Nothobranchius furzeri: one gene and its partners. The protein of the gene in region 3 binds, or shares a complex with, the protein of the main gene of each other region. Links are inferred from orthologs where the notes say so. Each region holds a gene or a part of one and is shown on either strand. Other genes may lie near its edges. The genes, in order: polr1b, polr1h, ubtf, polr2h and taf1b.

The links.
Region 1: ubtf (region 3) and polr1b share a complex: the UniProt entries of both Homo sapiens proteins name them as parts of the pol I pre-initiation complex. The link is inferred for Nothobranchius furzeri from reciprocal best matches to the Homo sapiens genes UBTF and POLR1B.
Region 2: ubtf (region 3) and polr1h share a complex: the UniProt entries of both Homo sapiens proteins name them as parts of the pol I pre-initiation complex. The link is inferred for Nothobranchius furzeri from reciprocal best matches to the Homo sapiens genes UBTF and POLR1H.
Region 4: ubtf (region 3) and polr2h share a complex: the UniProt entries of both Homo sapiens proteins name them as parts of the pol I pre-initiation complex. The link is inferred for Nothobranchius furzeri from reciprocal best matches to the Homo sapiens genes UBTF and POLR2H.
Region 5: ubtf (region 3) and taf1b share a complex: the UniProt entries of both Homo sapiens proteins name them as parts of the pol I pre-initiation complex. The link is inferred for Nothobranchius furzeri from reciprocal best matches to the Homo sapiens genes UBTF and TAF1B.

The regions. Positions count from the first base shown.
Region 1 is NC_091752.1:7,757,646-7,761,665, forward strand, and holds the start of polr1b (DNA-directed RNA polymerase I subunit RPA2), read left to right. Parts: upstream 1-1,215; 5' UTR 1,216-1,286; coding exon 1,287-1,463; intron 1,464-2,224; coding exon 2,225-2,392; intron 2,393-3,613; coding exon 3,614-3,760; intron 3,761-3,825; coding exon 3,826-3,958; intron 3,959-4,020. UniProt on the Homo sapiens protein: Catalytic core component of RNA polymerase I (Pol I), a DNA-dependent RNA polymerase which synthesizes ribosomal RNA precursors using the four ribonucleoside triphosphates as substrates.
Region 2 is NC_091751.1:25,535,697-25,539,755, reverse strand, and holds the start of polr1h (DNA-directed RNA polymerase I subunit RPA12), read right to left. Parts: upstream 2,804-4,059; 5' UTR 2,700-2,803; intron 2,130-2,699; 5' UTR 2,107-2,129; coding exon 1,989-2,106; intron 1-1,988. UniProt on the Homo sapiens protein: Core component of RNA polymerase I (Pol I), a DNA-dependent RNA polymerase which synthesizes ribosomal RNA precursors using the four ribonucleoside triphosphates as substrates. Can mediate Pol I proofreading of the nascent RNA transcript.
Region 3 is NC_091745.1:10,210,450-10,214,551, reverse strand, and holds the start of ubtf (nucleolar transcription factor 1), read right to left. Parts: upstream 2,810-4,102; 5' UTR 2,672-2,809; intron 2,177-2,671; exon of another isoform or gene 2,020-2,176; intron 538-2,019; 5' UTR 516-537; coding exon 479-515; intron 308-478; coding exon 135-307; intron 1-134. UniProt on the Homo sapiens protein: Recognizes the ribosomal RNA gene promoter and activates transcription mediated by RNA polymerase I (Pol I) through cooperative interactions with the transcription factor SL1/TIF-IB complex.
Region 4 is NC_091748.1:62,882,981-62,887,072, forward strand, and holds the start of polr2h (DNA-directed RNA polymerases I, II, and III subunit RPABC3), read right to left. Parts: upstream 2,803-4,092; 5' UTR 2,630-2,802; intron 2,397-2,629; exon of another isoform or gene 2,342-2,396; 5' UTR 2,330-2,341; coding exon 2,257-2,329; intron 320-2,256; coding exon 236-319; intron 149-235; coding exon 55-148; intron 1-54. Other genes in the region: lisH domain-containing protein ARMC9, read left to right, coding at 3,611-3,685, 3,805-3,930. UniProt on the Homo sapiens protein: DNA-dependent RNA polymerase catalyzes the transcription of DNA into RNA using the four ribonucleoside triphosphates as substrates.
Region 5 is NC_091742.1:16,192,731-16,196,863, reverse strand, and holds the start of taf1b (TATA box-binding protein-associated factor RNA polymerase I subunit B), read right to left. Parts: upstream 2,806-4,133; 5' UTR 2,674-2,805; coding exon 2,656-2,673; intron 1,404-2,655; coding exon 1,305-1,403; intron 356-1,304; coding exon 268-355; intron 77-267; coding exon 1-76. UniProt on the Homo sapiens protein: Component of RNA polymerase I core factor complex that acts as a GTF2B/TFIIB-like factor and plays a key role in multiple steps during transcription initiation such as pre-initiation complex (PIC) assembly and postpolymerase recruitment events in polymerase I (Pol I) transcription.

The DNA of each region.
Region 1 (4,020 bases), on a different chromosome or scaffold from region 3:
ACATATAGGATAAACAAAGTGAATTTAAATGATTTTTTTTAAAACCAATTCAAATTTTTTTGCAACGTTTTGAGAAAAATACTGATATAAGTGGCTCTCTGTGTGATGAACTCCCTGAAGATAAGTTTTGTCTTTTAGTTGGGCCCTATATCCCTCATTTTCTTTAGAACATACATCGTTTCACTCACCATCCACCTGGGATAGCCAGTCTATGGGGATAGCTTATATAGCCAATTGGCATATTCAAAATTGTTTTGATAATGAGGTAAAACAATATAAAACGACATAGGCACATAGCAACTCGTTTTTTACAAACCTTTACTTAAAATCAGAACATTACAAAAATTACAAATAACATCAAAAAGAACACACATTTTACAACTCACAGTATCAGGGGGTTCATAATACGACCAGCCAGCAGAGATACACCACTGGGTGTCGCTGTCGGATGACGTCAACAGCTAACAGGCTAAAAGCCCAATAAGTACAGGAAGCTCTCGCCGGGTGCGGTGGCGCGTGCCTGTAATCCAAGCTACTGGGAGGTTTAGGCTGGCGGATCGTTTGAGCTCAGGAGTTCTGAGCTGCAGTGGACTATGTCGATCGGGTGTCCGCACTAAGTTCGGTATCGATATGGTGCTTCTGGGGAAGCCCGGGACCACCAGGTCGTCTAAGGAGGGGTGCACCGGCCCAGGTCGGAAACGGAGCAGGTCAAAGCCCCCGTGCCGCTCAGTAGTGGGATCGCGCCTGTGAATAGACACTGTAGTGCAGCCTGAGTAATACAGCGGGACTCAGTCTTTTACAAGCTTTTGTGTTAGATAGGTTATTTTACTCGCTTTCCAGATGCTGCTTTTGCACATTTTACTGCAGTTTAAGCGTTGATTCTCCCCCGCTTCTCTATTGAAAACTGCAGCTGTGTGGCTGTGACACACCGCCCCCTTCTGGAAAATACGCGACCACCAATCACATCAGCTACCCTCACAGTAGAAGTGAGCGTTGCTTCTCAACAATTACACATAAAAACAGACTTTGTTATGAGATCAACTGATGTGCTTTATGAACATGAGCAAAGAAAAAGTGAATGAAAACAGTCCCATGAGCAGCGTGACGTCAAGTGCAAAGGGAAACTGGTGTAACGCATCGTTGTCTCCACAAGAGGGCGCTAACAAATCACTCGAGAACAACAACAAAAAAAAAAAAAGCAACGACAGATCTACTTCCTGTTTCAGTGATGTACTTCCTGTTTCGTGATGTCCATGTGGTAAACAAGCGTCCCGGGTTACACCAACATGGACTTTTCAGCTAAGTGGAGTAATGTACCGACAGGACCGAGTCTAAAGAACCTGACCGATGGAGAATTCGGTAAACTGAAAGAGACGCAACACGCCGCCGTTCAGGACCTGACTAAAGCCCACATCGAGTCGTTTGATCAGGCTGTCACTGATGGACTCAACCGCCTTGTGCAGGTCAGTGAGAAAGTCAGGTTTACAATTATTTTTTCACTTTAATAATTTAAAACATCATAAATACTCCAGCAGGGATATGAGAAATGACTAAATACTACTCCTGGTTAATTTCCTCCTCTCGTTGCCCTCTTTGACTTTAACATGTTTAATCCACGTGTGTCAGATCTGGTAGACATATATCATACATGTGTCTCTAACGGCAATAAAAAACCTTTATTTAAAACGGAAACAATGAACAGTTAATTACGAAATAAAATGTAGTAAATAAATGTAATCGCTAATTTGGACCAGTTACTTTTTATGAATGAAATGTTTTCATTTCAAACTTTTCAAATTAAAAGCATGACTTCTGACCACCTGAATGAATATCTGTATTACAGTGAAAACACATAAAAAATTAGATGCAGCCCCCTTGAGTGTTCAGAAAAAAACAAAAGGATATGAAGTGTGTGTGGGGGTGGGGGGGTACACGGAGTCAATTTAGAACATAAAATTCGAGACTACAGGCTGAAATCGTATTGCACAGAAAAGTAAAATGACAAAATTGGCCAATAACATGTTTTAAAATTTAAAATTTATCATTTCTACTTCATATATCAGAAAAGGGTCAAACCTTTACTCAGCAGTAGAGCAGAAGCTTCACTAACTATTAAAGGCTGTAGATGAGGTTATTATTATTGTTATTATTTTCCTTTGGGGTCATGTTGATTTTTGGGATCGTCTGGTTGCTTTTTGGACAGTTTTTGTTTGATGTTTTCCAGGCGATTCCTCCGATAGAGTTCATGTGCAGAAATGAAAAGTTGAGCCTCACGTTCGTTGATGCAACCATCCAGAACCCGCTGGTCGCCAAAGGCAGCATCTGCACAGAGATGAAGGTGTTTCCAGCAGAATGCAGAGGAAGGAGGAGTACTTACCGAGGAAAAGTGGTGGTAAGCTAGGCTAACTCTCTCACCTCCCTGTTGGAATGAAGAAGAAAATTTCATTTCTATAGCGCCTCTCAAGATAAAAATCACGAGGCGCTTCACAAAAACAAAAAATGTAAAAATATAAAAAAGCATTTAGAAAATGTTTAAAAATACATTTAAAATGAGCAAAAATAGGCAATTGTGATTAAAAAAAATTTAATAAAGAGAGAGAGTTAATAGGAAAGAGGGAAATCAGTGGCTGGAGGAGAAGGGGGGTGATGTGGGTGTGTTTGGAGGACTTGGTCAGAAGCCGAGCACAGGCACTCTGAACCACCTGTAGATGGTTCAGGGAGGTTCTGGTCAGACACGTGAAAAGAGAGTTACAGTAGTCTAAGCGTGAGGAGATGAAGGTGTGGAGAACTGTCTCAAGTTCAGAGCGGGACAGAATGGGACTCAGTTTAGCAATGTTCCTGAGATGGAAGAAGGAAGAGCCAACAAGAGAACTGACATGAGAATCCAGGGTGAGAGCTGGGTCAAAGGTCACGCCAAGATTCCTGACAGAAGTTTTGGTGTGGGAAGCAAGCTGACCAAGAGAGTCTCTGACTTTGGGAACCAGCTTGTCTGGGGCACAGATGAGGATCTCAGTCTTATCTTCATTCAGCTGAAGAAAACTCCCAGCCATCCAGGTTTTGATAGAGTCTAAGCAGGTGTGTAACAGCTGCAGCTTAGACATCTCATGGGGCTTAAAGGAGATGTACAGTTGGATGTCATCTGCATAAAGATGGTAGGAGATTCCTTTGAAGGAGCTCAGGATGTGCTGAAGAGGAAGCAGATAGAGGAGGAAGAGCAGAGGCCCCAGCACAGAACCTTGTGGGACACCATGGGTAAGAGAGGTGGTGGAGGACCTAAACTTGGAGACGGCCACAGAAAAGAAACGCTCAGAAAGAAAAGAGGAGTACCACTCCAGAGCAGTTCCTGATAGGCCTACCCAGTCTCTCAGCCTCTCCAGTAGCAGGTGATGGTCAACAGTGTCAAAGGCTGCAGTCAGGTCCAGCAGGACCAGAACAGAACCGTCCCCTGCATCACTGTGAGTCAGAAGGTCATTAGAGACCCTAAGAAGAGCTGTTTCAGTAGAATGAGCTCTACGAAAACCTGACTGGAAGCTATCATAGATGTTCTGTTCATCAAGAGCAGCTGTGAGGTAGCAGGTTTTGTAGTGAGGCGTGTGACGATGTGTCATCTCAGGCAGACGTCAGCTGGTCCATCAACGGCTTTCCCAAAGGCATCATTAAGCAGTCCCTGGGCCAGGTGCCGATCATGGTGAAGTCAAAGCTGTGTAACCTCTACGGCATGTCCCCCAAGGAGCTCGTAAAGCATCACGAAGAAGCAGAGGTGAGCCGAGCTGACGCGACTCCTCCTGTTATTGGATGTCGTCTAAACGCTGGTTAATTGAACAGGAAATGGGAGGTTACTTCATCGTGAACGGAATCGAGAAGGTGATCCGGATGCTGATAATGCCGAGGAGGAACTATCCCATCGCCATGTCGAGACCCAAGTGGAAGAGCAGGGGTCAGGGCTACACCCAGTTTGGTGAGTAGACACTGAGAGGAGCTTCAGCTCGTTGTTCTGTGCTGATTCCTTTCTTTCGTGAA
Region 2 (4,059 bases), on a different chromosome or scaffold from region 3:
GTGAATAGTTTTTGTAGGTGTTTTTGTTATGACAGCAACAAGCAAATTAAACTGTTCTAAAAAGCTAAAACGATAAATTTTGAAAAAAAAAATAATAATTGTAATCCCTGATTGAAATATGTATTTTTTAAGTGTGTGTGTTTCTAAAATTCAAGATAATTGTGTTGGATTTCCCTCTTTCCTATTCAATCTCTCTCTTTATTTACATTTTTAATCACAATTGTCTATCTTTTGCTCATTTTAAATATATTTTTAATCATTTTCTAAATTCTTTTTTATATTTTTACATTTTTTGTTTTTGTGAAGCGCCTCGTGATTTTTATCTTGAGAGGCGCTATAGAAGAGATCTTTTCTTCTTCTTCTTCTTGGATGCGTATTGTTTTTAATGAAAAAACAATAAAGGAGAAAGGCAACAATCAGTCAGACTAAGCTCTCCCAGAGTTACCACAAGGACTGTCCTTCATCTGCCCATCTCAAATGCAGTTGACTCCACCTGCTGAGAAACTGAGGTCCTTCAGAGTATGCAGAACTCTGTGAAGGACTTTTTATGATTTGTCGGTTGCATCTGCCCTTTTCTATGCAGTGGCCTGTTGGGGAAGCGGATGTACAGACAGGGACCAGAACAGAATTGGCAAACTGGTGCAGAGGACTAGCTCTGTACTGGGATGCCCCCTGGAATCGGTGGTGGGCGAGAGGAGGATGCTAGCTAAGCTAACATCCATCATGAACAACACACATCAACCTGAGCAGCTCATTCAGTCAGAAACTGATATACCCCCGCTGCAGGAAGGAGCACTCCCGTAGACCACCGATTCCACCAGTAGATGGGATTTATAACACATTATGACGTCATTAGTCAGCCAGCCACTTAAACGCTACGGTCACTACTCCATGCAGGATGCACCTGATATATGTATTTGTTTGTGTGCTTACATGTTCATGCCTGTATTTACAGTAATCTACCACATAGACGGTAAATAGTAGCTGTAGCACAACAGCTGATACTTTTTATGTATTATTAATTCATGTGACACACGTGATCGCCAGTGGAATTAAGGTGAAAAACAAGCTAACTTTCCACAGTTTTCCTGTTTAGTGGCAAAACGACAGAGACCAAGTATCTAGCATAAAGTCTTGTTAGCTCACTTGGATCGCAGCTGTAAGGCGACCAAACATCACCTTCCAAATTATTTTCATTCTGGTAAATTACAGATGGTGTACGTTTTTATACATCGTTTCTTTCCCTCAACCGCAACATGCACACGAAACACACACGTACACAGAGGCTACACTCACCTACCGGTAAGCTAATGATACACAACATAACTTTTCTCGCTACACTTCTTCTGAGGGATGACAATTTTGATTGTTTTACTAGAAAAACCAACAAATTAAACGTTTACCTCTCATCTGGACGTTAAACAAGATAGCCGAAAAAGTCTGTTATGCAGAACTGCAGCTGCAACAATATGTCACCAGTGCTCCAGTCTTGGGTCTTTTATGTGGATCAAAACCATTTATAATGATGATTTTGTCCACATACCGGTCCCCGACGTCTTTATATAACATGTCCCTGTATATTCCACATCCTTGTTGGGATTTTATGTGATTTAACACTTTCTTTCACCCAAATCTGCTTCTACTCTGCGACAGTACCGTTTATTTCACAGTTTGCAGAATGCTATGCGTAATCACGTGTGATCACAAGCCCTACACAAAATCTGCTGATTTTAGAAGCATTAATGTCGGTATATCGGTATCGGTTTTCGGCCATAACGGTGATATTAATATTGTATATTTGTTTTAGCCCAAAAATTTCATATCGGTGCATCACTATCACGTTAAATACATTTACTGTGAAGTGATTTTTTTTTCTTTTTACTACACTTGTGGTACTTTGAGGAATCATCACCACCTCCACCCGGGTTCCCAAACAGCCTCTTGAATCAGGCCCTCACAAAGCTAGAAACGGCTCTGGGACACGTTACCTGAAACAGGAATGCAGAAGGAGCAGCGAGGACACAGGACAGTGTTGGAGGTTACTGGTACCGGAAGAACGTTCCCGCATTCAGGACAGAAGTTCGGGTCACCACTAAAATAAGACATCCCGTCGAACCGGGCTGCTGACTCTTGAGAAACACAGACACGTTGAAAACAACAATCAAAACCATGAACCACTGGTTTCCCGTTCGGTTCACATGGGTTCTGTTTCGTTCCCTCCTGACTGCCAGTGGCAGTAAACAGAGTGGATGTATCTCCTCGCGCTCTGCGCAGGTCGAGTACTAATGTAAACAAAGTCACGCACGTGACACGTAGCGCACCTGGTCGCGAGTCTATAAATTACGCGCCGATAGCTACGTTCGGGTCTCCCGGGATCTTCTCGCCCGAGAAGTTCCGAGTGACCCCTGTGACTGGCAGTCATCCAGGAACTCACAGAACCATAGTTACACCGTAACTTCCGTTATGAAGACTTAGCACTTTATAAATTAACACTTTAAAAGACCTCCTGGCTGTGTGATGAAATCTAACGAGTGAATGTTATTGTTATTATTAGCAGTAGTAGCAGCAGCACATTGAGCACGTGGAGCTACTTGGAAACCTTTTACATGTTTATATTAGTATTCGGCTATTCTTTACACATTTAGTTCAAAACAGCGCTACTGTCATCATTTATTAAGTCAGTATAAAACGTTACAAACCTCTTTCACCGGTCACTTGTTTGCAGTAGAGGTCCTAGGGTCCTATCCACAGCTATGTATATGGTCCTATCACGTTATTGTCGCAGGCTGATGACGCAGGACGTGCTAGTGTCGCACGCTTGTTTACGTGACATGAGTTAATGACCAAAATGTTATTTGGGAATAATTAAATTAATTCGCAAATACCATTAAATGGTGTCAAACAATAAAATAAGGTGGAAATATCATATAGCATCTCCAGAAGCATTTCAATACCAAAGTAAAGCATACGTGGAAATAATAAACAACACTAAACTCATAATTACTGTGCAGAGATTTGGGGCAACAATGACCAGGGGTGGTCCTAGCCTGTTCGGTGCCCTGGGCGAACACACTTTACTTTTAGATGCTGCTTCACTCAAGCCGCTTCAGCAGACCTGTCCTCCTCCCTCTGCAGCACGCAGCAGAACAAATGTTTCCAAAAGTTACACACACCAGCATAATGTTCAGGCACTGCGCTCCCAAAATAAGTTTTTTTTTCGTACCCATTTTGCCACCCCTCTCATGATGCCATCCTGGGCCATTACCCAGGTCGCCCATGTCAAAAACAGTACTGCTCATAACTGTTTATTTTTATCTATTTTACAAAAAAAAAAAAAAAAGAAGAAGAAAAAAAAGGCCACTAGAATAATCTACACATCGGTGGTTACAGATGTCACACAAACCAAATGTTCTTAAAATCACAAATTTTGAAATTTTCTGATTTAGTTTAGTTCACATTGGAGTGAAACTGGAACCGACCAGCTGAGACAGTGATGCTGTGTTTTCTTATCAGGCTGAAACCTATGATCATTCATTTGTTTGGTGCATGTATGTAGAAAATTTGAACGGATGTCTGACTTTTCCATAGGTGTTTTATTTTAATGAATTGTTTCCATATTATATTATTTGTGGACTCCTTTTAAATGTTAATGAAAATCAAAAATACAATTCATAATTTGAACACAGTAAAAGAATGACAAACAATAAGCCCTAATGCAAGTATTAATCTTTCTTTGATGATGTAGACATCACACATTCAGTAATTAAATGGTCCATCAATTCCTGCCATATAATGTGTCAGGGAGGAAACGGAACTTCACCAGCAGACGTGGATGGATCACAGAAGGTTGTTTCATCTTCCTTTGTTGTTTTCAAGACATCCCAGAAAAAGATTACAAAAAGTGGAGCATTAGAATAAAGCTTTGTGACTGAAGGTCGTGTTGCAAAATGTTATCATGAAGATTAAAATGTTTTAGCAACTTTATTAACAACATATCAATTCTACCATCATGTCTCACATGCCTCAGTGACAAATTTCTGGATTTAAATCATCCCAGTC
Region 3 (4,102 bases):
TAAACGTAATGTAACAGATCATTTCCAAAAATAAGACAAACTTGTTTCTCATTGGAGGACCTCTTTAAGAACTTAATCTAAATATTACATCTGAAAAGGTTTACGACCTAAAAATCATGATCTGAGCATCTCACCTCTTTAGAGACCTCTTGCCATTTCTGTTTACACATCTCTGCAGTGTAGGAGTTGAAGGCCACCTTCTGCCAGTCCAGATGGGACTCGGATGTTTTGTATTTAGTCAGATCTTTCTGTGGCAGAGCCACTTTCATGGCCTCCAGCAGCTTTAGGAGGTCATCCTGCGACCACACTGATAAAAAAATACATGTAAACTGGTTCATGGATTTATTAGTATGGTTGCATTATGTTTATAGTATGATGACAAAATGTGGAATTCATTAAAACAATTTCGTGATTATACAAGTATTTGTCATTTGTTAAAAAAATATATATAAATAAAAATGACTCATAAATATACTACCTTGGTCATGTGTCGCTGCCTCCATTTCTCCATTCATTTGTGAAAATGCGATTTTTGAACTACAAAAGAAACAATAAATTAATCAAAATCACTAAAATTCATATTTTCTAACTTTATTATAACTGATCTCTGTTGTAAGTCGTTTGAGTTGAAATGTGTGCCGACATAATGGTTTATGTTCATTACACCGCCCCTAAACGTTTACGCTGCATGGTGAGGCATAGGCTATTGCTTGTGACGGCTTCAAATCTCAAATAACACTGCGGAGGGCTTCAACTAAGCATATCTAGCGACGACAACAGGAGTCCCTGTCGAGCTTCTTTTTTATTTTTTTTTATTTTTTATTTTTGGGCCAACCGGAATTTGGCGAATTAGTGCTGTCCTTATTCTACAACAGAAGTATCGTGGACGCTCAGGAGCGACCATTTTCTCGCTCGGTCTGCTCGGTAATGGAGGACTTTCTGTCGGAGCGGAGGTTGGGGAGGATCCACGGAAGGAGGAAGCGAATGAACGTGGACAGACAGGCAGCTGTAGGCGACCAGCTGACCACGGACGGGGGATCTGCTTTCGGTCTCCGACAGCCTGGAATGGCAGCTTGGAAGCACTGCAGCCAAATGCGCCACTCGGCGGAGACGCCTCATCACCGTTGGACGTGGATCTAGCTCCGCCACGCAGCCCTAAAGTCTTCTCCACTAATGTTTACCCAAAACAAGAACGACTAAACTAGCATTCTACGCGTGAGGGGGTTTATGTGTGCGTTTTAGAATAATTCACTCAACATTTTGTTCGCTTTGTGGTATCACGCAGTTGTTTTTTGGACCAAAAAGCCAGAGCATTCTTCAGCGAGGCGTAGCCGAGCTGTGCTCCAATGATGGCGGATGACCGTTGTTCATCTTGTCCTTGATAGCTCAACCGTGTCTCCTCGCGTCGTTTCTAACACTACTTTCGACATATTTCTTATGTAAAATGCGCAGAATGTCAAATTCAAACGTCGGATTTATGACGTTTAGTCAAAAATACTACATAAATGTGGAAAAAAAAACATAAGACGCCGTGTAACTTAGCATGTCGAAAAGAAGCCTAAAATCATACCAGCATCTAAGGTAGCACAGTTAGTCAACAGTATTTGCTACTAATCAAAATTTGTGTCACACAAGGACGATTTAGGGATCACATTAACTTGTGTTTACAACGTATAATTAACATGAATTATTTGACAACCATACAAAATGCTCCAAAATATTCTAAATTAAGTTACACCAGATCGAAAATTAATAAATGTTAGGTTAAATTATTTGCGGAGGCGCGAAACATAATTAAAATAAAAAATATATGTACGGTGAAACAACATTATTGACCTAATTTTGAATTACTTCATGTTAGTGTTAGTTATTCTCCGTTTCGAGGAAAATGTGGGCTTTAATCGGCTCTTTCATTATCGGATATCTAAAGAACAATCCGCGGCTGAGCAGCTTCTCTGGCGCGACAAAACGGCTCCAGGTCCGCCATGCTACCAGCCCCGCTCTTGTAAGCAAACCTACCGTGACAAGGTCCAATGGCGTACTGCGAACACTGAAAACGGAGCCGAAAGCTCTAGCCGGGGCGTTGCAGACTCCCTTCCCTAGCTCCAAAAAGCGCATAAGCGAGGACGGAAAGGCGGGTTCTCCGAGCTCGGTTGTCGGTGGTTCTGGGCTAGTCAGTGAGAGAGAGAGGGGGAGAGGGGAGGGCGAGTCTCCTCACGGTGAGATATTAAACCGAGATCCCTGATGGCTGACCGAGAGGCGGCTAGCTGTTCCGCCAACAGCCGCGTGGAGGTCTCGGCGCGGAAACTACCGGAAAACATTTCCCCACGCGAAACAAACGATTGCTTAGCTAAATCCCGATGCTACGTGAAACTAATTCGCTTCATGAATTCACTGGGTGTAATTTATAGTAGACATCATACCACTGGGTCTTACATCCAGCTTCTTCCCCGCTGTTTGGGCAGAGAAATTCGGGTAAGGCCGACCTCGTCTGCGCCCTTCCAGCGGGGAGTTTGTTTCGTTACCACAAAGATCCTGCCGCCTAAGGAGCTTTGGTAGACAACATTAAAAACAGAATGTCTATTTTTCGACTTTTAACCGCTTTTCTGGTTTGTTTATCGCGCTCTTTCCACGTGTGGTTATGAAACCGACCGACTTTCGTGCTGCTTACCTGTCTCGGCGCGAGCCTCCGCGTCGCTGTGGATGAAGAAGGGGAGGGTTGAACGATAGCCAGCACTGCGCCGTCGGTCCTGGGCTCCAGTCCCCGCAGAGATGGTCCTTCCCCCCGCCTCCATCTCTCTCGCTGTCTCCCTCCAGTCAACGTGCAGCAGCTCTCTTCTCTCCATCCAACCATTTCCGCTACACCGACACATCCCCATGTTCCCCAGTGTTAACGCCGCTGATTTTCTGAGCTCAGCCAGCAGAGTTTATTGTTTCTCATCGAGCCCGACTTTCACGTCTCCCACTGAAGTTTGCATCTCTAACATTTCGTCTGCCTACACTTGAAAGAAAAATCGCTTTACTGGTTACCTAATTTAAACGCCACCAGTGAACTTTTTTTCATTGAACGCACACATCTTTAAAGTTTATAATTGACACCAATCAGTGTCTGATTATTCTCCTAACTCTTATTTCCGGTGTCCGTGCCGTTCCCCCGGCACCAAACCTCTTTGACTCAAACGTAACTGGCTGTTTGACAGCTTCATTTTAGCCCAGCATGTTATTTTTTCAACTCCACCTTGTGTGTTTGTGGGCGGAACCCCCGGCCGTCCAATCCAGTCCGTCCGATTGAAGGAAAACAAAGACTTTCAGGCACTCAGTCTTGTTAAACTGTGCTATGTTCACTTACAGTAGGAATAAAGTATTATTGGATTAGTGTCAGGAATTTAGCTAACTGGACAAAAACAGTCGTCTTTTGTTTTAGTTTAGTGATTTTAATATCAACCTTCCCAGGCACTACAGGTGGAAATTAGCATCCCCACTATAACCTGGTACATTGCATCTTTCTTTTGTGGTTAATGTCAAGTTGTGCACTGTCACTGTTTAAATAAACTTCTACAATTACAATTAAAATTATATAATATAGTTTGAAGAATTCAATTGTGTTATCTTTTTTGTTTACCTTAAATTTCAATTATCCTGTTCGTATTTATCTTTCACAGTAATTTATATCATGTTTCCTGTATGTGGTTACAAAGTATTAAATCGAATTTAACGTGTAATTGTTAATTACTTTTTTGTTTTGCCTTTGATGAAGATTGAAATCATGAATATGGCTGAATAAAACTAGACAATACTAGACTTAAAAATAAAACCAACTATTTAACCTATTAGCAGGATAAAAAGGCAGCTAAAATAGTAATTTTCCCATGTAGAATATTATGCTTGCGTATCATGTTTTTAGAACGTTTATGTTTTAAATAGTATTTTAAACATAATATAAGAATAACGAACACATTTCTCTCTGAGGAACAATCCTACTATAATTTATCTCATTAAGACTCTTGGCAAACAAGTCGCCATCCACTAGTTTTGAATAAAAACTTTATAGTACTGGGATTTACGTGATCACCTTGAAAGCAGCCTAGAACTTTGGCTTAAA
Region 4 (4,092 bases), on a different chromosome or scaffold from region 3:
ATCAAAAGATCACACACACTACGAGATGATGGAAGAGTGCAAAAAATGTCTCACCGAGATGGTCGATCATCCTGAGGATTGTACTCTCCATCATCCGGTGTTCCATCTTCATACAAAGTACTGGCAATCACCAGTCTAAACTTGTCACCTTTATAATATGTTATAAGTCAGATTTTTATTGTATTAAGAATTAACTAAATAAGAGTGCCCTCGGTAAAAGGGCTTACGCTCTCACCAAGATCCACAGGATAGATCTGAATGTTCACGTCCAAGATGAGGTCCATCTTAAAAGATTCACTCTCACAGTGCAGACGAGACACTGCAATAGGTGAGAATTTGTCAGTAGATTATAAACATTGTCTGCTGTAGGTTATACAGGTGCTGGCCAGTAAATTAGAATATCATCAAAAGGTTGAAAATATTTCAGTAATTCCATTCAAAACGTGAAACTTGTACATTATATTCATGCAATGCACACAGACCAATGTATTTCCGATGTTTATTACGTTTAATTTTGATATTTATAGGTGACAACCAATGAAAACATCAAATCTGGTATCTCAGAAAATTAGAATATTCTAAAGGCCAATGAAAAAATGTTTGTTTCTCTAATGTTGGCCAACTGAAAAGAATGAACATGAAAAGAATGTGCATGTATAGCACTCAATACTTAGTTGGGGCTCCTTTTGCCTCAATAACTGCAGTAATGCGGCGTGGCATGGACTCGATCAGTCTGTGGCACTGCTCAGGTGTTATGAGAGCCCAGGTTGCTCTGATAGTCGTCTTCAGCTCCTCTGCATTGTTGGGTCTAGCGTATTGCATCCTCCGCTTCACAATACCCCATAGATTTTCTATGGGGTTAAGGTCAGGCGAGTTTGCTGGCCAATCAAGGACAGGGATACCATGGTCCTTGAACCAGGTGCTGGTGGTTTTGGCACTGTGTGCAGGTGCCAAGTCCTGTTGAAAGGTGAAGTCTGCATCCCCATAAAGTTGGTCAGCAGCAGGAAGCATGAAGTGCTCTAAAACTTCCTGGTAGACGGCTGCATTGACCCTGGACCTCAGGAAACAGAGTGGGCCAACACCGGCAGATGACATGGCACCCCACACCATCACTGACGGTGGAAACTTTACACTGGACCTCATGCAACGTGGATTCTGTGCTTCTCCGCTCTTCCTCCAGACTCTGGGTCCTTGATTTCCAAAGGAAATGCAGAACTTGCTTTCATCAGAAAACATAACTTTGGACCACTCAGCATCAGTCCAGTCCTTTTTGTCCTTGGCCCAGGCGAGACGCTTCTTGCGCTGTTTCTTGTTCAAGAGTGGCTTGACACACGGAATGCGACACCTGAATCCCATGTCTTTCATGAGTCTCCTCGTGGTGGTTCTTGAAGCGCTGACTCCAGCTGCAGTCCACTCTTTGTGGATCTCCCCCACATTTTTGAATGGGTTTGTCGTCACAATTCTCTGCAGGGTGCGGTTATCCCTAGAGCTTGTACACTTTTTTCTACCACATTTTATCCGTCCCTTCGCCTGTCTGTTAATGTGCTTGGACACAGAGCTCTGCGAACAGCCAGCTTCTTTAGCAATCACCTTTTGTGTCTTGCCCTCCTTGTGCAAGGTGTCAATGATTGTCTTTTGGACAGCTGTTAAGTCAGAAGTCTTCCCCATGATTGTGGTGCCTTCAAAACAAGACTGAGGGACCTTTTAAAGGCCTTTGCAGGTGTTTTGAGTAAATCAGCTGATTAGAGTGGCAGCAGGTGTCTTCTATATTCAGCCTTTTCAGAATATTCTAATTTTTTGAGATACCAAATTTGGAGTTTTCATTAGTTGTCACTTATGAATATCTAATTTAAATGTAATGAACATTGGAAATACATTGGTCTGTGTGCATTGCATGAATATAATGTACAAGTTTCACGTTTTGAATGGAATTACTGAAATATTTTCAACCTTTTGATGATATTCTAATTTACTGGCCAGCACCTGTATAAACTAAATCCAATAAGCAAGTTGGTTTTTTAACTGCTCTCTTAATGAGCTGAATGTCTTTCAATTTTATATTAGCTTTTAACTTCAGGATGCCAGATTTTCTTTAACATCACTATGTAAAGTCTGCCTTAACGTGGGCAAATAAAAACGTAGAATAAATGATTACTCATGAGTCAATATACCTGTGCATTATGTCAATACGACAAAAACAATATGATGGAATAATTAAATAAGTCACCCCAATACGTTATTGTACTTCATAAGTACCTCTGTCAAACTTCTTGCCATCTGGATCAATGTCTTTCACATCAAAGATATCTTCAAACAAAATTCCAGCCATCGTTGGCCCACTCTGTGAATTTGTGCAGGGGATCAAATGTTTAAGCCCCTGTTATGACTTGAACAACCTGTCAACAAAAAATAAAACGTAATAAACTATAGTAACTTTTAAAAAGCAATGAAACGTTAGGTAGCACAAGAAATCAACTGCTATAAGCATATTACCATAAAATACTTTTATATAAAAATAAGACTAGGACATACGTCAGTTAAAGTTGGCAAGTTTTATCTTCCACGTTGAATCTCCTATTTTGGCTAACAGCTAGCTTTAGCATACTGTTAATTCATTTGTTGCACTTACCCCAAATTATTTTTAGATGTCGTAATGCAAACACAGAAGCCTCGCAACTACTCGATTCTTTAGGACAACAGCGACTGTTCAAAACATAAGCTAGATTTGTTATTTAAGAGTAATTTAATTCATTGCTATCTAGCCAATCTGTGGCGCGCAGAAACAACGTGATTAACCTTTGACACGGGAAGTACTTCTCATAAAACAAAATAAAATGAAAAAATAAATGTTTATGTTAAAAAGCAAAGTAAAACATAAGAAATTGTAAAAATATAATACTCGTACTAAAATAATAGTTTTACCATTAAAATTGCATAATGTATCCTAAAAAAGGTCAACAATTACGTTTGTCTGTGCGTTGTTATAATTTACAATCGTTTACTTTTGTTTTTCTAAATCGCATGCCTCATAACTTAAGGTTATTCAATATATTTTCTTGTAAAATATAATACATTTAGTTAGTTTTAGTTTACGACACTCACATTTACTTTCCGGTGACCCTCTGGTTGCTAGGTATTTTTAGCGTCCCTCCTGTTTGTGGTTGCCAGCTATTTTTTCGTTCACTGTCCGACAAAGCGAGCAAAAATGTACTTTATGGATCTCGTTTACTTGTTAACGCATCACAAACTTGTTTGTACGTCAATTCTCCCAAATCAAATTACGTGCGAATAAGGTAGGAGCCATGTTAATGTCCTGTCGTGTGTCAACTAATTAGATAGCTTGTAGCTTCATAAGTTGTTGCTAATCTTGATGTTAAACCATTTAAGATGGTATAAAACCCCACATGCCTGCCGAAGTTACACTAGCATTCCGTTGTGCGTTTTGGTGTTTGGTTATTTTTACTACTGCTCATAGAATTAAGTTTTTACTTATGTATTTTGCTCTTTTGTTCTTGCACCTTTTAGCTTGAACCCTAGATCTATAAACGTTTTTGAATGAAAGCAGAAATCGTTCCCGTCTAAAGGGGTATTAAATGTTTTCGGTACACACATGAGTTCCAGTGAGGAAGCCAAGATGGGGGACGTCTTGGCAACAGAAGCTGATCTTCTTGGGATGATCAAAGAGGTAGAGAAGATATCTGGGTCACAGCAATATTGATGTTCGCTGAAAATGAATGAAATGCACCAAAACTCAGTGTCATCCTTCACTGTTTAAGTTGAATCATGTTTGTTTGTTTGTTGCAGTACCTCACGTTTGAGGAGTTTGAGGAGACTGTTCAGGTTTTTGACAAGGAATGCAAAAGGAAAGGCAAGCTGGTCTCAAAACCGAGAGGAAATGCTCTAAGAGACTCTAAGACTCGTGTCATTCAGGTAAACAATGCTCTTCTTCAACATGGAAATCTGCTATGTTGGTGTGTTTTCTGTCATAGTGGGGAGACGTTTATGTAGTTCCAGTAATCCTACAAAAGGACGTACACAGCCTAACAAGTATGCAAATGCCAAGATGGTCCAGCTGATTTTGAATATTTACCT
Region 5 (4,133 bases), on a different chromosome or scaffold from region 3:
AGCCGGAGCAGAGCGTCAGCCTGGTTCTTCAGGATGAACTGGAACCCCTCACAGACCAGCCAGGTGTAGCCGCGCTCTGAGGAACATCAACCTGTCAGAAACTAAACTGAAGTTCCCCTGCAGCTAGAAAACATCTGGGGACGGCTTTAGAGACCAGAAAGGTCTGTGTTTGTAAAATAAAGTTGTGTGTGTGTGGTGTATGTGTGTGTGTGGTGTATGTGTGTGTGTGGTTATTCCAGCTGAAACCACCTCAGAGGACACACCCACCTTCTTTACTGGTTCTGGGTCCTTTGGCGATAGATTTTAATCTGTTGGAGCTTCCAGCGACGCTCAGGTCCACCACCTCTATGGTCCTCTGAGCACAGGAACATGTATAAAAACCATCAGGGGAGGCCTCAGATAAAACAGCGCCTCCTGCTGACAGCCACAGGCACTACAGCTGCCAAAAACCCGTTTTAACCACGTTCCATGGCAATGACGCTGACAGGCTCAATTGTACGTAAAAGCGTTGGACTTGGGAGGCAGAGGAAACAGGAAATCAGTCAGAAAGTCTAGAGCATTTATCATTCAAGCTGATGAGGACCTTAAGATCAGTAGAGCCTGCTGTCCAGTAATCAGAGGGAGTGCAAAATGACAACCTCACCTCTCAGACAACCCCAGGGCAGCATGGCTACGTTTGAGTTTTCCATCACCAGCAGAGAGCCCAAAAGCTCTTTATAAATCTAATCTATTATTATTATCAGCAGTAAACAGCTGCAGCAAGGTACCAACTGTCTCTTTAAAATGTGAACTCAGGAGTTTCCTTCACTGTGCTTATTATTATTATAATTATTATTATTATCTAGCAGTCTAACACTAAATGCTCCAGCCTCTCAGAAGTGCAAGCTAGCATGGCTAAAGCTAACGGAAAGCTTAAACCCACATTAATAACGTCCATGCAGACACATGTTCAGAAACCACAATATGAGAATTTAGAAGCTTCTAACTTTCAGAGTTTTAAGACATCTGAGGAAGTGTTACCATGGTAACATACTCATTGATTCTCATGTAAGTTCTCTTGTTCGCTCTTCCTTCTTCCATCTCAGGAACATTGCTAAGCTGAGTCCCATTCTGTCCTGCTCTGAACTTGAGACAGTTATCCACACCTTCATCTCCTCACGTTTAGACTACTGTAACTCTTTTTTCACGTGTCTGAGCAGAACCTCCCTGAACCGTCTGCAGGTGGTTCAGAATGCCTGTGCGCCGCTTCTGACCAAGTCCTCCAAACACACCTACATCACTTGTAAGTTGTTGTTGTTGTTTACCTCTATGACGTTGTGGCAGGACATGCAGTAGAAACGACCTTCTTCTGAGATGCCCCAGTTCACCGCTGCACACTGAGCGCAGGGCTCCCTGTAGCCAGCCTGGACAGGAACACAGGTACGGGTGAAGAGAGCAACTCAAACTCACCTGAGCTTTTGACAAAAACCTAAAAATTATTACTAATATTATTAATATTCTCACAACTCACACAAGTAGATTCACAACAAACTTTGAATAAAAAAGCAAATAAAAAGTAATAAATTAAATCTAAAATCTGATGCATAATAAGAAAAATGTTTGTAAGAAACTTGAAAAATGAGAACCTTCAGTGAGTTAGACAAAAATTAGCTTTTGAAGAAAAATTAGATAAATTAAATGAAACAGAAAGAAAGAGTAAAATGTTAAATCTTACTTTCTTGACCACAGCAGGATGTTGGTGCATCAAAACGGGTTTAAATACTCAATAAATAATAAACACAAATAAAAGCTTAACTATTAGCAGCTTCTGCTCCACCTGGTTCAGAAAGCCTGTGCTCGGCTTCTGACCAAGTCCTCCAAACACACCCACATCACCCCGCTTCTCCTCCAGCTTCACTGGCTGCCAGTCAATTTCAGGGTTCATTTCAAGATCCTGGTTCTGGTCTATAGGGCCTTACATGGACAAGCACCATCTTACATTGGTGATCTTCTTAGTCCCTACACCCCCAGCAGGTCCCTGAGGTTCAGTGACCAAAGCCTACTGGTTGTGCAGCACCAGGCTAAAGGTGACAGATTATTTGCTGCTGTGGCCCCCAGACTTTGGACCTCTCTCCCCCGAGCCTGAGGTCAGTGGACTACGTGGTCTCCTTTAAACTCACCTGTGCAGGCTTTAGTGGGACCTTCATCACCTCCCTCTCCGTGTTCTGCTCTTATTCCGCCTTTCATGTGATCCACTGGTTTCCCACTTTTTCTCATTTTAAACATATTTTAAATCCTTTTTATACTTTTTTTAAGCTCCACGTGATTTTTATCTTGACAGGCGCTACATAAAAGATCGTTTTCTTTCTTTTTTCTTCACAGCTCTAATTAGGTGGAATGCTAGCCAAAACTACTAACCTCTACATGAACGATTGAATAACTACGTTGATCGTGTTGGTAACGTTACTAAATCTATGCCGATTACTAAACCGACCGCTGTAGATTCCGACCAAGTTGTTAAATGATTTCTTTCGGACTTCGTATTTAATAATAATGAAAGAAGGCGTGTTGTTAATAGGGTTGTGTGTGCCTCAACCAGCTAGCTAACATCAACATTCCCCCTTAATTAAATGTACGCGACATATTTACAAATAAAAAATGCTTAAATGTGTTTACCGTAGCGTCTTCATCCATCGTGATTTAAAACTAAAGTCTGGTCATTATGTGTTTAATTTATTCATTAGGTTTTCCTTTTAGCTCTCAAGCTAAAATGAGAGAAGCGTATTTGTAGCTGGAACCGCTTCATCTTCATCGGTTGATTTTAGCGACTGCAAGGTTTCTATACTGCCACCAACAGGTTGCAATGTGAACTACAACCGCCAACTATGGTTATAACTCGCTTTTGCTGTCTGTGTAATTCAACATTCATCAATTACGTGTCAAGTACATCCGGAAGAAAATGTTTTACAACGTTCCAATTAAAACTATTGAAAGCTCATTTAGATTTTTCACAAAGTTATTCAAAAGGTATTTTATGTAGAGTTCTGCTGTATTTTATTGTATTTTTGTCATATCTGATGTTCGGTTCGGCCGTCATGTTTGCTGGTGGTGTTTTACAGACTTTGGCCTCTCGTTTAAAAGCGGATTTGGATTTGGATGAGATCAGAGATTATAAAAAGACTCGCCAGATGTTTCCGTCTTTCTCTTATGTTACGTCACGAATCGAGTCGCTTTTCAGAAGAAACTTTATTTTTGTGTCTTTCTGTTGTGGTTCTGGAAGTTAGGAGCTTATGTTTCTTGTACAATCGCTAAAATTCACGACCCAACTGCTGGGTTCATCTTTCACGAGCTCAGAGAGCACACACGCGTTCTACTCACGAGCCCGTCGAGCGCGCGACAACACGCACAACAAGCTGAGGCGCACTTTCAAAATAAAAGCAAACACTAAAACAAAACAAAGAATTTAAGAAATTATTCATTTGCTGTGTACCAAGAAAATATCAAATAAACTGTTACAAGATAGTTGCTTACATATTATGTATTTATGTTTAATGTAGCTATTATTTTGAGTTAAATATATATTTTATATAATTTCACATGTTTCACCAAAGCTCAGGCTTCTAATTGTGAAAAACAAGTAGGTAACTCAAATTGGCAATAATAAACTATTTTCACAGTTAGACTTTCTTTTAAATTAATGTATTTGGTCCAATGGCTTTCATTTGGACTAATTTGATTTTATCCTGGTGCACGTGTCAGTTATTTCATTCAGATTCAAATCCAAATTATGTTTATGTATTTAGCAGACGCTTTTGTCCAAAGCGACTTACAAGTGATAATTGGCATGTTGCCCTTGATGCTAACAACAACAATAACAACAACAAACAATTTCCAGTCAGTTGTAGGTAGCAGCGAGGCAGCATGATGAATCATGGAGAGGAGGGAACAATAATAATAATAATAATAATAATAATAATAATAATAATAAAAAACTTTATTAATCCCTCGGGTGAATTCCTTCGGGAAATTCAGTTTCCAAAAAAAGCAGCGCAACACCGACAGAGGTTACAGAACGTCAGAAAATATTATATAATAATAAAAATAGAAATAAATATAAAAATACAATTGAATTGCACCTTCCGGATATCAACGTC